Linked DNA regions of Nothobranchius furzeri. The protein of the gene in region 2 interacts with the protein of the main gene of each other region in a biochemical or structural test. Links are inferred from orthologs where the notes say so. Each region holds a gene or a part of one and is shown on either strand. Other genes may lie near its edges.

The links. The genes of interacting proteins can lie anywhere in the genome.
Region 1: the proteins of srebf1 (region 2) and fbxw7 form a complex in vitro, tested with the Homo sapiens proteins (3 studies listed by BioGRID, with this or other methods). The link is inferred for Nothobranchius furzeri from reciprocal best matches to the Homo sapiens genes SREBF1 and FBXW7.
Region 3: of the proteins of srebf1 (region 2) and sirt1, one has a biochemical effect on the other in vitro, tested with the Homo sapiens proteins (2 studies listed by BioGRID, with this or other methods). The link is inferred for Nothobranchius furzeri from reciprocal best matches to the Homo sapiens genes SREBF1 and SIRT1.
Region 4: the proteins of srebf1 (region 2) and gsk3ba form a complex in vitro, tested with the Homo sapiens proteins (2 studies listed by BioGRID, with this or other methods). The link is inferred for Nothobranchius furzeri from reciprocal best matches to the Homo sapiens genes SREBF1 and GSK3B.
Region 5: the proteins of srebf1 (region 2) and med23 form a complex in vitro, tested with the Homo sapiens proteins (2 studies listed by BioGRID). The link is inferred for Nothobranchius furzeri from reciprocal best matches to the Homo sapiens genes SREBF1 and MED23.

Annotation. Positions count from the first base shown.
Region 1 is NC_091747.1:80,739,327-80,742,846, forward strand, and holds part of fbxw7 (F-box/WD repeat-containing protein 7), read right to left. Parts: intron 2,916-3,520; coding exon 2,833-2,915; intron 2,185-2,832; coding exon 2,043-2,184; intron 1-2,042. UniProt on the Homo sapiens protein: Substrate recognition component of a SCF (SKP1-CUL1-F-box protein) E3 ubiquitin-protein ligase complex which mediates the ubiquitination and subsequent proteasomal degradation of target proteins.
Region 2 is NC_091752.1:55,490,128-55,493,647, reverse strand, and holds part of srebf1 (sterol regulatory element-binding protein 1), read left to right. Parts: intron 1-2,565; coding exon 2,566-2,741; intron 2,742-2,828; coding exon 2,829-2,969; intron 2,970-3,044; coding exon 3,045-3,263; intron 3,264-3,356; coding exon 3,357-3,471; intron 3,472-3,520.
Region 3 is NC_091752.1:5,649,145-5,651,951, reverse strand, and holds part of sirt1 (NAD-dependent protein deacetylase sirtuin-1), read left to right. Parts: coding exon 1-49; intron 50-2,449; coding exon 2,450-2,597; intron 2,598-2,686; coding exon 2,687-2,766; intron 2,767-2,807. UniProt on the Homo sapiens protein: NAD-dependent protein deacetylase that links transcriptional regulation directly to intracellular energetics and participates in the coordination of several separated cellular functions such as cell cycle, response to DNA damage, metabolism, apoptosis and autophagy.
Region 4 is NC_091754.1:24,484,239-24,487,476, forward strand, and holds part of gsk3ba (glycogen synthase kinase-3 beta), read left to right. Parts: intron 1-12; coding exon 13-123; intron 124-377; coding exon 378-508; intron 509-1,356; coding exon 1,357-1,463; intron 1,464-1,547; coding exon 1,548-1,645; intron 1,646-1,730; coding exon 1,731-1,838; intron 1,839-3,189; coding exon 3,190-3,238. UniProt on the Homo sapiens protein: Constitutively active protein kinase that acts as a negative regulator in the hormonal control of glucose homeostasis, Wnt signaling and regulation of transcription factors and microtubules, by phosphorylating and inactivating glycogen synthase (GYS1 or GYS2), EIF2B, CTNNB1/beta-catenin, APC, AXIN1, DPYSL2/CRMP2, JUN, NFATC1/NFATC, MAPT/TAU and MACF1.
Region 5 is NC_091742.1:26,135,523-26,139,042, reverse strand, and holds part of med23 (mediator of RNA polymerase II transcription subunit 23), read right to left. Parts: intron 2,983-3,520; coding exon 2,839-2,982; intron 2,652-2,838; coding exon 2,506-2,651; intron 2,432-2,505; coding exon 2,186-2,431; intron 2,118-2,185; coding exon 1,975-2,117; intron 1,187-1,974; coding exon 1,012-1,186; intron 940-1,011; coding exon 776-939; intron 663-775; coding exon 538-662; intron 431-537; coding exon 225-430; intron 137-224; coding exon 1-136. UniProt on the Homo sapiens protein: Required for transcriptional activation subsequent to the assembly of the pre-initiation complex. Component of the Mediator complex, a coactivator involved in the regulated transcription of nearly all RNA polymerase II-dependent genes.

The DNA of each region.
Region 1 (3,520 bases), on a different chromosome or scaffold from region 2:
AACTGCTGTGGCTGCAGTTTCTTTTATTTTTATTTCTCTTTTGACTGAAAAAGTGGTCACACTGGAACCCGAGGACAGAAGCAGAAACGTTGCTGCTCAACAGCACCATCACCATTGCACACCCACCTCTGCACTGCCACACCCAGACGGTAAACCTGTACAAGTGAAATGAAAACAGAACCGGGGCATTATGGGATGGTTCCAGCTCACTGCCATCTCTGACAGGAACACCTCCCCGTCTCACACTTACAGTCAGGCGTTTTCAGCTGCGGAGCCGCTCGAGGCACCTGCGTGCTTCAGCTCACACATCAAGCAGAGGAAGTTGAACATTTGGAGCTGACCTTTGGGGGAACTCTGTGGGATCACTACTTCAGCTCCAGCATTTAGTGTTGCAGCTGAATGGTATCCCCAACTCCTTGTTGATCTCAGCAGCTGTAGTTGTTTTGCTCCGTGGAGCTCTAACCTCTAACAATGATTACAGGCCACGAAGCAGGGTGCAAATTTTGGCATGCCACCTGTAATTTGGCAGCTAAAAGGTTTAGCTAGAGATGTTGGTTCTGAAGGTAATAAGGAGGTTGAGAAGCCTCCTCCCTAACGGAGGCCTGTGTAACATGTGCATACGTGTTACATCAACTTTCTGCCATTGATTTTAAAAGTTCAAACAGAATCTTTAACACTCCAGGTTCGCCAGCTTTAATCTGAGATGAGAACTGTTGTCTTGCAAAGCTTCGAGGCTTTTTTCACACTGTGACCTCCAAAATGCCATCAGAGTCTAAGTCGAAGTGGATTTCTTGAAGGTTTTTCATCTATTTTTCTGCACAATAAAAAAAAAAAAAACAAAGAAAGAAAAGCTTGATGCCAATCTGTCTGTTTTAAATCAATATAATGCACCTCATAAACCTAATATCAGACAGAAAACACACTTTTCTGCAACTGGCAGGCCTTTCCACAGTTCCCACCACCATCTCTCATTAGAAAGCACTCCTTCATTTTCCTGTTTTTTTAAGTTTGGCGCAGCTTCAAAAAGAGAAACTATAAAATAATCACTTTTCCCTTTTCTTCTGAGTATTTATTTGACTGTTTGAAGTCACAAGTGATGCAACTATTTTAATAAAACAAACAAAAGAAGGTGCCACGTCTTTTGGAGCCACCAGTGATTGAAAACGTCTCTTTCAGGGCGCTGACGTTCCAAACTCATTTCATTCCTCAGTCGAAAATGCGTATTGCTCACTAATCAGCCCGGCTACTACTGTAAAGTGAAATTTTGTTTTTCTTTACTCGTGAATAGGATTGAGCAAAAGTTTTCAACCATTATTCAATGTCTCTAACAAGCCAGACATTCTTGATGAGGCGTTCTTTAAGCTTAAAGATCTCTACGCTGTTTGGCTGCGTTTACCTCCCTCCCTTCAGTCCACTCACACCGGACCGCGGCAGCTTATAGAAGAGCCCTGTTCTAATCTCTGCTTGACCCTTATCAGCCAAGGTTCAGACACTCTTCTGGTTGTACTGATATTTTATTAATGTTATAATCCAAATACGACTCTGGTCGCGGTGCCGTGCTTGTATAGTTCTGGTGTTTGGCTGCCTGGAGCTCGTGTTGGTCAGGCCTCAACACTAATACATGTAAAACAAACACCCAGGTGTCGTGGGTTCAGCCAGCCACTCAGAGATAATACGTTTAAACTCTCTTAGGTAATGAAATCCGTAGCAGCTCATTATATAAAAATCAAGATCATCACGGCTAATATGTTTAAATTAGACCCCATTTCCTGCAGGCCTGAAGTTATTAGAGTTCAAGACAAATATTTATTATTCAAATATAAGAATAATCATACAGACAACAGACAGTGATCCTGACTCATTGATAACTAAAGTGGCCTAAAATAACTGAATAGGTACGGTTGATCCAAACCACACACTACTGAGCCTACAGCAACAAGGCAGCAGTTGTCTCTGAGACGCTGTGGTCAGACAGAAAGCTGCTTTTAGCTCAGAGGTTCATCGTCTTTCAAGAAGGACTTGTCCAGTTCCTCTGTGCTCACCTGAAATGTTCGGAGCCATTCCTGGAGACCCGAAGGTGGCTGGATTGAGGTGATGCGTCGCCTCTGCTGCCCCTGGCCATTGGCTGCTCTGATGTGGCCGAATGTGGTGGGTGTTGCGGGACATGGGACAATACCTGTTGGGCTGTAATTTAGGGACAAAACACAAGACACCTTAAAATAATCAACAACGATAGAAGAGACAACCCACCATTGTCCAAAGTATTCAGAAAACGGAATCAATGCTTTTAAAAGGCTGTTTTAACTCAAGAGTTTCATCTAAAACCTTCACAAAGACCTTTTCGCTCAGACACATAGATATACACAGACTAGCGTCAAAATGTCCAGAATACACTGATGTCAGCGGTGCAGGACTTCAAAAGGACCGGGTGTACCTTTTTAATAGCAGGGCAGTAGCAGAAACTACCCTGCAGGCCCTCTTAAGGCTTTGGGTTTAGCCTGCTGGCAGCCAAATGGGTGCTTGGGGTCGATTTCATTATCGATTCATTTTTAATGGGAGAGGAAGCTGAGAGGGGGCCAGTTACATGGCAACATTTACACTTAAGTGGCTGTGTTCAGTCAGAATTTTAATGGTGCTACATGTGAACATTAAATATTCAGAGTGAGAGAAACATCTGGATCTACAGCACCCGCCTGTTTGACGGTGTAGGCCGCACCTCTGTTTGAAACACTTGATATTTTTTATTTGGCCTAATCAGAAGTTCATGTAGTGCGTGTGGTGCATGAGAAACACAGTGCACAGAAAAATCAGCAGCAGGATGTGTAGCTGTACCTTGGGTACTCTGAGCCTTTGCAGGGTTTTTTTCCTGAAGGGAACGATCGGACCTCGGGGCCATGGTCCAACTTTCTCTTCATCTGAGGGAGATGGGACAGAGAATTTTAAAATGTTGGAAATCAAACACAAGCTAAAGTCTATAATCCTTCATTTTAGATCCAGAGAATATTTCACTGTGCTTGGACAAAGCCAGAGTTTGGAAATCTAATTTAAGACAGACATGGGTCAGGGAGGCTTTCAAAGACAAAAGCAGAGGCGGAGCGTTGCTTCTAAATACTACAGACGAACACTAAAAGTGATGTTTTACATATTCAAATACAACAAATGGGAATTTACATCATGCAAATAAGAAATCTCTTGTGACATTTCAGTTTCCCACCTCGCTCTAAACTAACATAATCCATCTGTAGACAAAAAGTTCTATAATGTGAGACAGCAGCCAAAGTAGGTGACTAACTCTGTTTGTCTTCATCTCAAACAAGATAAGCACAAGACCGGTGATCCCCGGGCAACCAGACACACAATAATAACCAGAGGCAAACACATTCACACCCAAATTCCAGGAGTACAGCGTGTCCGTGCACACACACCACAACCACAAAATATGAGACGTCTAACAAAAAAGGGTACAAGGTGCACTTTTAACTCTGTGCTTCATCCCAAACAAAACAAAAGCAAGTGGGTT
Region 2 (3,520 bases):
TTGGGGCAAACATGCTTCATCTCTAACAGCTACCACCCTGAATAAAGCTGAAACCTATTGTTGAAGCTATTATTGCAGCAGGTCTGGTGTTACTCACTTCCTGACTGTGTTTTGTTGCTAGTTTTCATAATATAACTGTAATTGTGGTTTAGATGGTATGAATGGTTTCATGTTTTGTACAGTTCTCTGAGGAACCTGTGTGCTGACCACCAGGAGTGGTTCTGCAGCAGAAACCAGGAGAACGGTTTCAAATCAAATCAAAGATACTTTATTGATCCCGGAGGGAAATTAGAGTTTCAGTACACACAATTCAGAGATCAGACATACATGGGCAAGACACATGACAAGAATTGGTGACTGTGGTCATTCGCAACCCTGAGTCGCGCTACCTTAATAGAGATAAGAGGGTTACATGAGGATTGGTTCAGGTGGAGGGAAAAAACGGCACTTCAGAGTTACCCTCCAGCAGGAGGGCAGCTTTGCTCTGCAAAAAACACCTCAAACATATATGCGACAGACTTCAGACATTACACAAACATGAGACTCCAATAGGAAGGTGGGGGGCTGGGATCCTGTTTCCCCCAATGAGAGCAGCCATCTACGGCGCTCATCTACTGTACAGTCACAGGTGGGAGGGAGATCTTGGGAGAAGCAAAGAGCTAGGGCTGTAGCGAAGCCTCGACGAAGTCGACGGCTCGATTCTAAAAATTTGTCGACGTCAGATCTGGAAGTCGACGCACCGCGCCCACTTGTTGCATCCCCAGGAGTTTGTAAATAGAGGAGGAATCTGCCTGTTTTTCCTCTAGTTCGCCCTCTTCTCCGCCTTCACTAACATCTCCGCCAAATACCGAAGACCCGGAACAACGTCCGTCCATTACTAGATTCCTTTCCTGTTTTGCCCATTCGTCTCCCGGCAACGGACAACAACTTCCGGGTCAGATGCGCTGCTTCGTCTCTATCGCAGATGTAGAAAATCACCGGGAGCGTTTCTCCCTTCATTAAGGAGCTTCTTTCAGACATTAGGAGAGCTGTTTTGGTGGTAGCAGTCTCTCCTCCGTGCTGGTCTGTTTGCTGCTGGGTGTTTTTGGTTTATTTAAACTTGGTAACTTGAACTTAATGTTGGTAAAGCTACTGTTAGCATCTTCGCTAACAGCTTCTTGCGTTTGGATAAGCTGTTACGTTTTGGTTTAGAGTTCATCTTTTTTGTGGTGTAGATCTCCCTTTCATTACATTTAGAGTGTTGTGGGTTTTCGGTTTAGTTCAAAATATCACCTTGAGTTTGGTTTAACCCGTAAGACCAGTCGCCTCACGCACATAAGTGACCAAAACAAAGCAGCATGGAGACACTCCGTCTTCTACCACCTCTCAGGCAGCAGCCTGCTCTCCCACGTTCTACACGTCACCAGAACATAACCAACCAACACAATAAAAGCAGTGTTATACAAAATGGAAGGCCTGTAGTGTTTATTCTCTTACAGAAACAATTTATCAATTTTTTGAGGAATTTATTAGAGATTTTTTGGTTTTTGTTAATTGTGCAATAGAAAAATAATCATTAGATAAATTTTCTAAATAGTCATTAGAATAGTCGACTATTCGATAAAATAATCGTCAGAATAATCGTTTTAAAAATAATCGTTTACCCCCAGCCCTACAAAGAGCACATTGACTCCTACAGATTTGGGGACTTCAGCCTGGCGAGGTCATCAATCAGAAGACGGGGGGGGGGGGGGGGGTGTTAGGTTTTCACAGCATCTGTCTGCATTCCTTCGTGGGGGTTTTATTTGCTCGCCGCTCAAGGCTACCAGGGCGTCAGATTCAGATAACACGACTTTGTTTGGGTCAGGCTGAGATAATTTTCCTCTCTCCCTTCAGTATTTAAACTGATCATTCCAGTCCTTCAGTGAAGCTAATTTTAGATTTTTAAACCTGTCCATTCCGTCCGTTGACTCTCTCCGAGATGACATCCATTTTGCGCACTAATACCGGTAACGCAGCTAGAACATTGTACAGCTTACGATTCACCTCGAGTAACGTCCCAGTCTGTGAGGTCTCCACACGGACGGTGCTTTCCGTGGGTCCGGGTCTCCCTCCAATCCTCCCGTCTTGCCAAATTTCCAGAAAACCAGATATCCTCCCACTCCAATCAGGAGAAATCCAGTGATCATCAGGCCGAATATCCACACGTCTTTGATATCCTCAATGGACAGCTGGCTGAGGCATATGATCTTCCACTCCCTCCAGGAATCCAAAATATACCCCACCGGGTGTGTCTCCTGTGGACATGTGGGAGCCCCCTGCTCCGTTCTCATTGTTGAAAAAATCTTATCGATCGCAGTGAATGACCAGTTTATCAGATCCATGGTTAGTAAAAATAGAGTTTTTCAGAAGAAATGCAGTGAAGCGCTCTGTGGGCAGACAGGACAAAGAGCCTTGAGAAAAAAAGATAAGGGAGCGAAAGAGAGAAGCGTCTGTACTCCTCTAGTGCCTTGAAGAGAATATGGGATGGTTAATATATGTATATATAAAACTGTAATTGTGGTTCTGCTTCTTCCCTGTTTGCAGTTGGCAGCCCCAGCAGCGTGAGCCTCCCCATCACCACTTTGTCGTCCTCCCCTCCCAGCGTCCAGCCTGTGGCTATTCAGACTCAGCTCCAGGCGCTGACCACAACCACCCCCATTTTGGCCACAACCACAAGCCCTCCAGCTCAGACTATCGCACCGCAGATGCAGCAAGTTCCTGTGAGTGGGTGAAGCCGACCAATTGGATGAATGGCGTGTGTGTGTGTGTGTGTGTTACTGATTTGTGGATATTTGCGTGTCTCTCAGGTGCTGCTGCAGCCCCAGTTCATCAAAGCCGAGTCCCTGCTGCTCACCACTCTGAAACCTGACCCGTGCATCGTCACAACCGTAGCCTCCCCCACGTCTCTGGCCACCACCAGCAGCCCTGTTCAGAGCACCTCCCTGCAGGTAGGCGTGCTTGGATTGAGACTCAAAAATGATGGCGTCTGATATGAGTTATAACTCTTCTTTATTCCTCTCTAGGCCTTTGTGGGCGGTGGCACCATCCTGACCACGGTACCTGTGATGGTGGATGCTGAAAAGATCCCAATCAACCGCATTGCCATCGCCGGCAAGCCAATGGGACAGCCTCACAAGGGGGAGAAGCGCACAGCTCACAATGCCATCGAGAAGCGTTATCGTTCTTCTATCAACGATAAAATAGTGGAGCTGAAGGACCTGGTGGCTGGAACGGACGCCAAGGTGGGAGACTGTTTATCATTTACACTTCTCAGTGTTCTCTGTTTATACCAGACTGCGTAGCAAAGGCCCAACTGAACGCGATCCTTTTTACAGTTGAACAAGTCGGCGGTTCTGAGGAAAGCCATCGACTACATCCGCTACCTGCAGCAGACCAACCAGAAACTCAAACAGGAGAACATGGCTCTCAAAATGGCCACGCAGAAAAACAGTAGGCGCCTTCTCCTGCAGTTGTTTTTGCCCCATAAGAGTATTTGACC
Region 3 (2,807 bases), about 50 Mb from region 2:
TATCGAGTACTTCAGACGGGACCCTAGACCCTTTTTCAAGTTTGCTAAGGTTGGTTTGTGGTGTCTGCTGAGCTTTTCATGCAGGCTGAACATGAAGATAGTCTCCTACACCTGTCTCCTGCTTTAGCTTCTGATAGAAAACAAACGGTGAAACTCTAGGATTAGAAAAGCCTGACAGATCTACGTCACGCTGTCACTTAACATTCATGGACTCGCCCATCCTCACTCACGACGGGGAAGGCTGTTGTTGGTTTAGCGTCAAGGAAAAGGAAGCTAACAATTAGCATTAGCAACTCCACCACACAGCAAAACTCCTTTTAGGATTGTGTTACTTTTGGAGATTAAACATCAACATTGCAGAGCAGAGTCAGTGGTAGAGTCGCTTTGCTGTTAGCCAATCAGAGGCGAGATGTCCTAATATCAGGAGATAAGACTCCAAAACCTGCCATGTTTCTTCTCCTGCCGACTTTTCTGACCCCAGACAGCCGCACCAATTTTTTCCCCAGAGTACGACACTTAAATTCATTCCTACTGGCGACTACTGTAAATGCATTAAAGTACAAGTAGAGTTAACCATACATAAATATAAAAGTATGTATTGCTCTACACCCTCAGGTTTTGGCACAGTAAAAAAAGGTTTCACTGAAAACTTTAAGATGCCTCAAGTAATGAGTCAGAAAAGGGCCGGATGATCAAAAACAGACCCAGACGGGCTCCGTCAACAGGCCTTCCCCTCTCAGCACGTGACTTAAACATGGGAGGTGGAGGTTGTCCCAAATAAAGGTTACGTAGATCACTAGCATGGCAATATTTTAGTTTTTACAAGTTTTACAGAAATAAACAATGGTTGTTTGCAAAATTAGCAGAAAATTGATGAAATACAAGTCTGGTAACACGACTAACTTGTTTATCACAAAGTAATGACTTAAAATGACCAGGGGTCTCATTTATCAAACATTGGTAAATCCGTACTAAAACCGTACTTAAGCTCAACAAAAAAATGTACTTAAGCCAAGCAGGTTTGTGATCTATCAAACATGGAGTACACACAGCTGCACGCAATCTCCGCTTCATAAATCAGAGACTATCTAGAAAGGTTCTCAGCTGCATTTTAGTCACATCTCGCCCTCACCACGCCCACTTACTGCCATAAATGGTCAATGCAAAGTGCCTTGTGGATCTCATGCATATACATGAGCCGTTGCATATACATGAGCCGGCTTGTTGCAGCATTTCGATCATGACCGCAGATCAAGGAGGCGCTATTTCACAAGCAGAAGTTGAGGTACTTGTGGGTGAGGTGGAGAAATGAAAGGAAGTGCTTTTGCAAAACAAATAAGAGAAAATCCACAGAGTGGCACAGCGTTGCTGAAGCCGTCAATGTTGTGAGTTCTTCAGAGAGATCTGTGGCGGATATGAAAGAAATAGTCCAATCAGGATTCGATCCCCAGACTCAGGTGAGTCACGCTAACCAGTCATCCAAACAGAGATCTCCCCTGTTCAAGTAGCCAGGGTGCATGATCAATCGGGTCACAGTGACAGGACACACACACACCGTCACAGACGCATGACATTCTGTCTCAATCTGTCCCCCTGCTGATATTCTGCATTCCGTATTCTGTGCTTCAGGCTGTGTGTGTGCATGCATGTGTGTGCGTGTGTGCGTGTGGGGGGTCTTGTTCTGTGAGAAAACGAAGCAGTACCAGTGATAATGCTGCAGGATTTCATAATTGTATCTTCTCAGCAGCAGCGCTGCAGGTGCTCTCCATGTCCAACATGTGTGTAAGCCAGGTCCTTAGTCAACTTAAAGTTGCGCACATTTTTCTGCCAAGTTTTCTTTCATAAATCCCAAAGTTTGCGTGAAAAGTTGCTTACGCAGTTTTCCGACCCTGTTTCGTGCGTAAGCAAGCTTGATAAATGAGACCCCTGGGCTGCATTTAAAATGAGTGGTTTATTTATAGTTCACAATAATTATTCAAATCAATCAATAAGAATTTTTATTGCTATTCCTTTTTTCTATATCGTCCATTGGTCATCTTCCGTTGGTATTGAGATCAGTTTGGGCTAGGGATGCACCGATACCAGGAATCGATACCAGGAATCGATACCAGTGCAGTTGCTTGAAAACGGCTTTACTGTAAATTGTCGTTTCTGTTCACTTAATATTTTAGTTTTATGATGATTTCCATTCATATAGGTTACTTTTTATCTACCTCACAGTATTTTCCTGTTGAATGCAGAGAAGAAAATTTCATCTGTATTCCAAATCATTGCATTTTTTTGTGTGGGAGGGGTATCGGTATTGGCGAGTACTGAGATCCCAGTATCGGTTTGGAAAAAAGGGGGTATCGTTGCATCCCTAGTCTGGGCTGAACTTTTAAAAACCTGTTAAAGAAGCAAACGTGAATTTGTTTCAACTCTACTGCTAAATAAGTCTTCATTCCTGCAGGAGATCTACCCCGGTCAGTTCCAACCTTCACCCTGCCACAGGTTCATTTCGATGTTAGACAAGCAAGAGAAGCTGCTACGCAATTACACACAAAACATCGACACGTTGGAGCAAGTGGCTGGAGTTCAGAGGATCATCCAGTGTCACGGTGAGTTTTAGTTTGCATTTTGTTGTACATCTACGCCGCTGCCATAGCGCTAAATAATCATGTGTGTGTGTGTGTGTGTTTTATTTCAGGGTCCTTCGCAACTGCGTCCTGTCTTGTTTGTAAACAAAAAGTGGATTGTGAAGCTATAAGGGAAGATGTCTTTAATCAGGTACATTTTAAACTGGACCAACAGAACGTTGATCGCTGCTG
Region 4 (3,238 bases), on a different chromosome or scaffold from region 2:
TATCCTTAACAGAAAGATGAAGTGTATCTAAATCTGGTTCTGGACTATGTCCCTGAGACGGTCTACAGAATGGCCAGACACTACAGCCGAGCCAAACAGACACTGCCCATGATTTATGTCAAGGTATTTAAGTGTGTGTGTGTGTGTGTTCCATGCCCAAACTATTAAAGAAAACTATTACAGTAACTGTTGGTATTTAAGTTAGAGTTTGTAAGTATAAAATGTGACCGAACCTCTAAATTTTTGTTCTTTTTATGACTATTTGTTTTTCTAACCATTATTTACTGTTAATATAATCCGATTTAATCTGAGTGTGAGAATATTCCTGTTGTTTAGAACATTTTCTAACCCACTTTGGTGTGTTCTCGCCTGTGTAGTTGTACATGTACCAGCTGTTCAGGAGTCTGGCTTACATCCACTCATTTGGAATCTGCCATCGGGACATCAAACCCCAGAATCTGCTGCTTGATCCAGAGACGGCTGTACTGAAGCTCTGCGACTTTGGCAGGTGAGACGCTGATTTATGAACACAGTAGAAAAGAGACCCTGCTGTTTGTTGAGATGATTAAAGCATTTTGTTTATTTCTGATGTCTCTACTGCAGTTACAGGTGTGCAAACCGGACAATTTTTTAATTAATATTTTTGATTTTAATCGTTCACTCTTGAGTTTTTCATACAGGCTGAACATGAAAAAGGTCTCCTGCTTTAGCTTCTGGTAGAAAATAGAAGGTGAAACTCTAGGATTTGAAAAGCCTGGCAGATCTATGTCACACTGTCACTTAATATTCATGGACTCGTTTCGCTACAGTGCGTCGTCCGTGACTGCGGGGGTGGGGATGGACGCTTGGCCTGGCTAAATCGCTGGGGGGAACCCTGGAAATCATTCTCTATTGATCTTACACATTCACAAAGCCAGTTCTTTTATAAGCTAAATAAATTCAAGATACAGCAAACTATACCCATGGTGGATCAATACAGTCAGGGCTGCTAACTCACGCATTAAGCATAAGACAAATGCATTTGACTGTCTTCACGCGCTCTCATGCCACACCTCTGATTTCTCACACTGATGCATAATAAAAGTTCATCTATCTGTTGCATCGCGCTACTGTACACGCTCCCCTACAGCATGTTTATTTGACTCCTGTGGGGCAAATTTGGCTCTATTATAAAAAATAGAAAAAAGGTCTGGAATCTTAAAAACAACTACGTTTAAAAGCCAGTTAATGTTCAATAAATTTCTATCAACTCTAATTAAAGATTGCGTTAAATAATTCGGATCTCTATTTCAGTCACAAAAATCCTGATCAGCATTTTTGCCATCATATAATAAATGTTTTGATCTCTGTGTGCAGTGCGAAGCAGCTGGTCCGTGGAGAACCTAACGTGTCCTACATCTGCTCCCGCTACTATCGGGCCCCTGAACTCATCTTTGGGGCCACTGACTACACCTCCAGCATAGGTAGGCTCCCCCCTCCAGTGGGAATGTGTGTCTGTTCTTCTGTTTCTGGTGTCTGACTTGTTTTTGACCTGCCTGCTCCTGCAGATGTGTGGTCAGCTGGCTGCGTGCTGGCAGAGCTGTTGCTAGGACAACCAATCTTCCCTGGCGACAGTGGTGTGGATCAATTGGTTGAAATAATTAAGGTAACCTGACCTCTTTTCCCTTTTGTGAGTTATTGTAGTTTTGCAAACAGCTTGTCGAGATTGTTGGTTGTTCCTGTTTTCTCAGGTTCTCGGAACCCCGACCCGAGAGCAAATACGCGAGATGAACCCCAACTACACTGAGTTCAAATTCCCCCAGATTAAGGCACATCCTTGGACTAAGGTGAGTCAACAGGTACAAGAGCACTTTTACTTTATAGTTCCTCTCATGATTCATTTCACTGTTGCTGTCTTTGCTTCATCATCATCATCATCTTCATCCAGATTGAATCAATCAATGTTGTTTAAAAAGCTTCGCTTTGACTTTTTAGACTCAGTGGGAAAAAAAAAATTCACAGAAATCTGTGATCCGTGTCTAGGCAGTACTATCCTGCTAATCTGCTTAAAAGCCAAGTTCACCTCTATTTCCTGCATCAACTTCTGATCGAAAATAGACGGGACAACACTCGGATTAGAAAAGCCAGTGACCTTAGCACATCATAATGTCAAATTGGCATTCATGGACTCGCCCATCTTGGCTCCTGACTGGAAAGGCTGTTGCTGATTTAGCGTCCAGGAAACAGCAGAGTGCCTCTCTGCTTGTAGAAGCTAACAGTTAGCATTAGCAGCTCCACCACATTAGAACTCCTTCAGGCGTGTTTTATTTATGGAGATAAATCATCAATGTTGCAGAGCAAATGGAGGAGGTGGTAGTCTTGTTGCTGTTAGCCAATTAGAAGCAAGATGTCAGAAAATCAGCAAATGAGACTCCCAAGTCCTGCCGTCTGAAGCTCAAGTTCAACGTGGCTCACTTCTAGCTCCTGAAACAGGAGCGCCAAAGCCTTTTCCCCACAGAAATGTACTCACAAACCATTTTTTACTTGTTATTTTTGAGTTAGATCGGTCACACTGAGTTTATCATGCAGGTTAAACGTTAGAATAGTCTTCTACCCCTATTTCCTGCATTAGTCGGGAATAGAAAATAGATGGAGAAATGCTTAGGTTAGAAAAGCCAATCAGATCCACGTCACACTGAAAATTAGCAATTATAGACTCACCCATCTTGGCTCCTGACGGAGAAGGCTGTTGTTGTTTTAGCGTCCAGGAGAGAGTAGAGCATATTTTGGCTAGTAGAAGCTAACCATTAGCATTAGCAACTTCACAACTTGACAGAACTCCTCCTGACTTGTGTTATTTGTGGAGATAAAACATCACCATTGCAGAGGAAATGAAGGAGGTGGTAGAGTCGCGTTGCTGTTAGCCAGTCAGGTGAGATGTGCAGGTATCAGTAAGAGAGACACCAAATCCTGCCGTCATCTGCTCTGGCTAACGTCTAGCTCCTGAAACAGGAGTGTCAGAGCTTTTATCACACAGATTAACTAACATGGCATTCGTTTTTACTAGAGACTATTGCAAATGTGTTGGAAAAAAATAAATGAACTTTGTTTCTAGGCTTTTACATGTTGACAAATGTGTTAGCTGTCCTCAAATACCTTTCGTCGAGCAACAGTCATCTTGTTGATTTGTGTCTGTAATTTGTCGTTCAGGTCTTCCGGCCTCGCACACCTCCAGAGGCCATCGCCTTGTGCTCTCGCC
Region 5 (3,520 bases), on a different chromosome or scaffold from region 2:
GACCATGTCGTTGAGGATTTCAATGCACTTGTTGAGTTGCTGTCCACCTGCAGACGTTGAAAATTCATAAACGAGGAAGTCGGCGAAGGTACGGACGTGAGCCACCAGAGCGCGAGCTCCAATTCGCTCCAACACCCTGATGAAGAGGAGAAAAAAAACCAAAAAGAGTGACGAAGTGAGCCTAGACAAGTTTGGATTTAAAAGCAGCAAAGATCAGAGCGGACCTGAAGCCTATCTGGTTGATGTGGTCGGTCTCCAGCAGCATCTTCCACAGCAGACACAGGAAGAGGGGAGGAGAGCCCTGCATGGAGAAGTGGGTGATGATGTCGTTCTCGTTGGCCATCGACTTCCACTTCCTGTACTCTTCTTCCACGTTTTTCTTCAGGTTGAAACGAGACTCCTGAGGAACGTTGTTCTGTTTAAAGAACGCCTGAAACACACACAGGTGCTGAAGTTAACCCAACAAGTTGTTTAATTTAATAATTCATTTATTCACTTTTGTCCCGCCCTGTTTGTTGAGGGGGAAACCTTCTGCACCTGCAGCGGAGCAGGGAAGCAGGACAGAGTGTGTGAGGCCCAGTTGTGAGGTGTGAAGTTCATGATGGTCTGGAGGATGTCCTTACACCAAGTCCCATGGATGGAATCAGACCCTGTGAAAAAGTCTCATACAGACAAACCAGCACAGAGACTCAAACACCTGATTCTATTATTATTATTTAAAAAGGCAGTAAATTAAACCAAATGTGAGTAAATGCAAATCCTGTCTAAGAGGTACCGGTGACATGTGTGGCTCGAGCCAGAGTGAGGATCAAGGCTCGGTTCAGCTCCTCCGATTCAGCTGACAGAACCGTCTTCGGGTCGTTGAGGAAGCGGGTGAACTGAGGTTGTACCTCTGAACTCCCCAAAGCTGTGATCAGCCTCAGAGCCGTGCTCTCAACGCTGAGAAGGAGACGAGAAATCTGTTAACTAGGTCATAGGAACAGCTTGCGATGTCTCGAGATGCAGAGTTACCACAGGTGCAGCTGGTTCTGGTTGGTCTGCGGTACCGCGGACAGGCTGTGCAGATGACTCAGCAGCTGGATTCTGTAGTGCGGCTGGACGTGGTGCATCCTGTAGCTGAACATCTCCAGCAGCGTGTGCAGGATTCCCCACGCGTGAGACTTAAACACGTTGGGCAACAGCTGGCCTGAAGTGAAGAGGTGGTTAATCAGATTATTTATGATGAATGAGATATGTGCCTGCCAACTCCGGGTCGGGGGAGGGGTCCTACCTCAAGGGGAGGAGTTTAAGTATCTCGGGGTATTGTTCACGAGTGAGGGTAGGAGGGATCGGGAGATCGACAGGCGAATTGGTTCGGCGTCTGCAGTGATGCGGACGCTGAGCCGATCTGTCGTGGGGAAGAGGGAGCTGAGCCAGAAAGCCAGGCTCTCGATTTACCGGTCGATCTAAGTCCCAATCCTCACCTACGGTCATGAGCTTTGGGTAATGACCGAAAGAACGAGATCGCGGATACAAGCGGCTGAATTGAGTTTCCTCCGTAGGGTGGCCGGGCTCAGCCTTAGAGATAGGTTGAGGAGCTCGGACATTCGGGAGGGACTCGGAGTAGAACCGCTGCTCCTCCGGATCGAAAGGAGTCAGTTGAGGTGGTTTGGGCATCTGGTCAGGATGCCTCCTGGACGCCTCCCTGGGGAGGTGTTTCGGGCATGTCCTGCCAGCAGGAGGCCCCCGGGTCGACCCAGGACACGTTGGAGAGGTTACATCTCCAATCTGGTCCGGGAACGCCTTGGGGTCCTGCCGGAGGAGCTGGTGGAGGTGGCCGGGGAGAGGACGGTCTGGAGCTCCCTAGTTGGGATGCTGCCCCCACGACCCGGACCCGGATAAGCGGAGGAAGTCGATGACGAGATATGTTATGAGCTAAATCTCAGAGCTCACTTCAAGTGTTCTATCAACAAGGATCAACCTAAGTAAACCCACTGATGAATCCTTTGATGCCCAGTGACTCGATCTCCATGTAGACCAGCAGTCGGCTGTATGTCTCCACCAGTGCGGGGGCCAAGGCCAGGCTGGACTTGGTGTGGGCCAGCTTGATCACACGTGTGGCGATGCTGTGGATCAGACTGAAGACAAACAGGAAGTGAAAGTTTTAAACAAAAACAGCTGAAGTAACTTAAGTTTCTTGTCCTACCTCATCTTAGCATGCACAGTGATGGAATCCAACAGATTCATGGGCAGCGGGGTGATGGATCCCGACGCCATGCAGCTGGTTCCAGGCAGGTTGATCCTTACAGATCCGTTTCCATAAATGGTCTCCACCAGGACCCCCATAGGCAGGGTGAAGCACTCAGAGTTTGTGCTATAAGCGTTACACAGCAGGGCGATTTTATAGTCGGACATGCCCAGGGTTTTGTTACGAAGAGACTGCTGGAGGAACCTAAAACCCAAAGACAGAATTAACTAGATAAAAGGGTGATTTTAGTCATTTAAGGCAATGTTCCAGATTTTTACTCGTGGTGGAGTTTCAGAGAGTGTGGGATTGGTATCTGCAATTTGGAGTTGTCATTCTGAGCTTTGCGGTTCAGATGGATCCAGATGCAGGTCATGGCAAAGGAGTGGGTGGACTGGGGCTTGTTAATGTCAGGAACCTGGATGCACTGCAGAGGGACAGACAGTTTAGGTATCGTCTGCATTACTGACTAAAGTAATGATGAGAAATACAACAATTATTAGTTAAAATGGTTAAATTAATATTAAATTAATATTTTTATTTCAAAGCAGCCAGACAAAGAGCAAACTGAAGTCTTTTTGGTACAAATAACAGCGATCGTGTCTTCATGTTACCTCTTTTTCAGGGTACAGCAGATCAAAAAGCTTCATGACCGGCAGGAAGTCAGCCAGTGCATTTTTCTGAATGCTGCCAGATATAAACTGCAGCAGGACCCACATCAGGTGGTCCCTCCCTTTTATTAGGCCTCGGCCTGCAAGCTGAGGAAAAAGAATATCAGCTTTATTAAAGGGACTTTACGGACTTTTGAATGTTTATGCTCGCTATTGCCCCCTCAGGCCAAAAGCGTAACAGAAGCTTCAATGGTAGGCTCATGCACGATGGTGTACGTGCACACTCCTTAACGAAAATAACAGCTGAGACAGCACGTGCACGCGCGCGCGCGTGTGTGTGTGTGTCTGTGTGTGTGTGTGTGTGTCTGTGTGTGTGTGTGTGTGTGTGGCCCAGAGGACAGAGGACAGGAGAACGCGCAGCTAATTAATTAAATAATTTGGTTCTGTACCTTTCTCTTCAGCACAGCCGACAAAGGTTTATGATGGGTCAGTCCTCCTGCATGCTCAGATCATTCCCTTCCCTTGCTTGAAAAATTGTTCCAAAATGAAAGTTGAACCCACATCTTTTTTATCTGTGAATTCAATGCCGTTCGGCGAGTCTCAAATAAAAATTTGGGCATCTTACTGTAAAAAATATACCATTAATGTAAAAAAGAAACTCTAAATAAACTATGTTCACACCCAG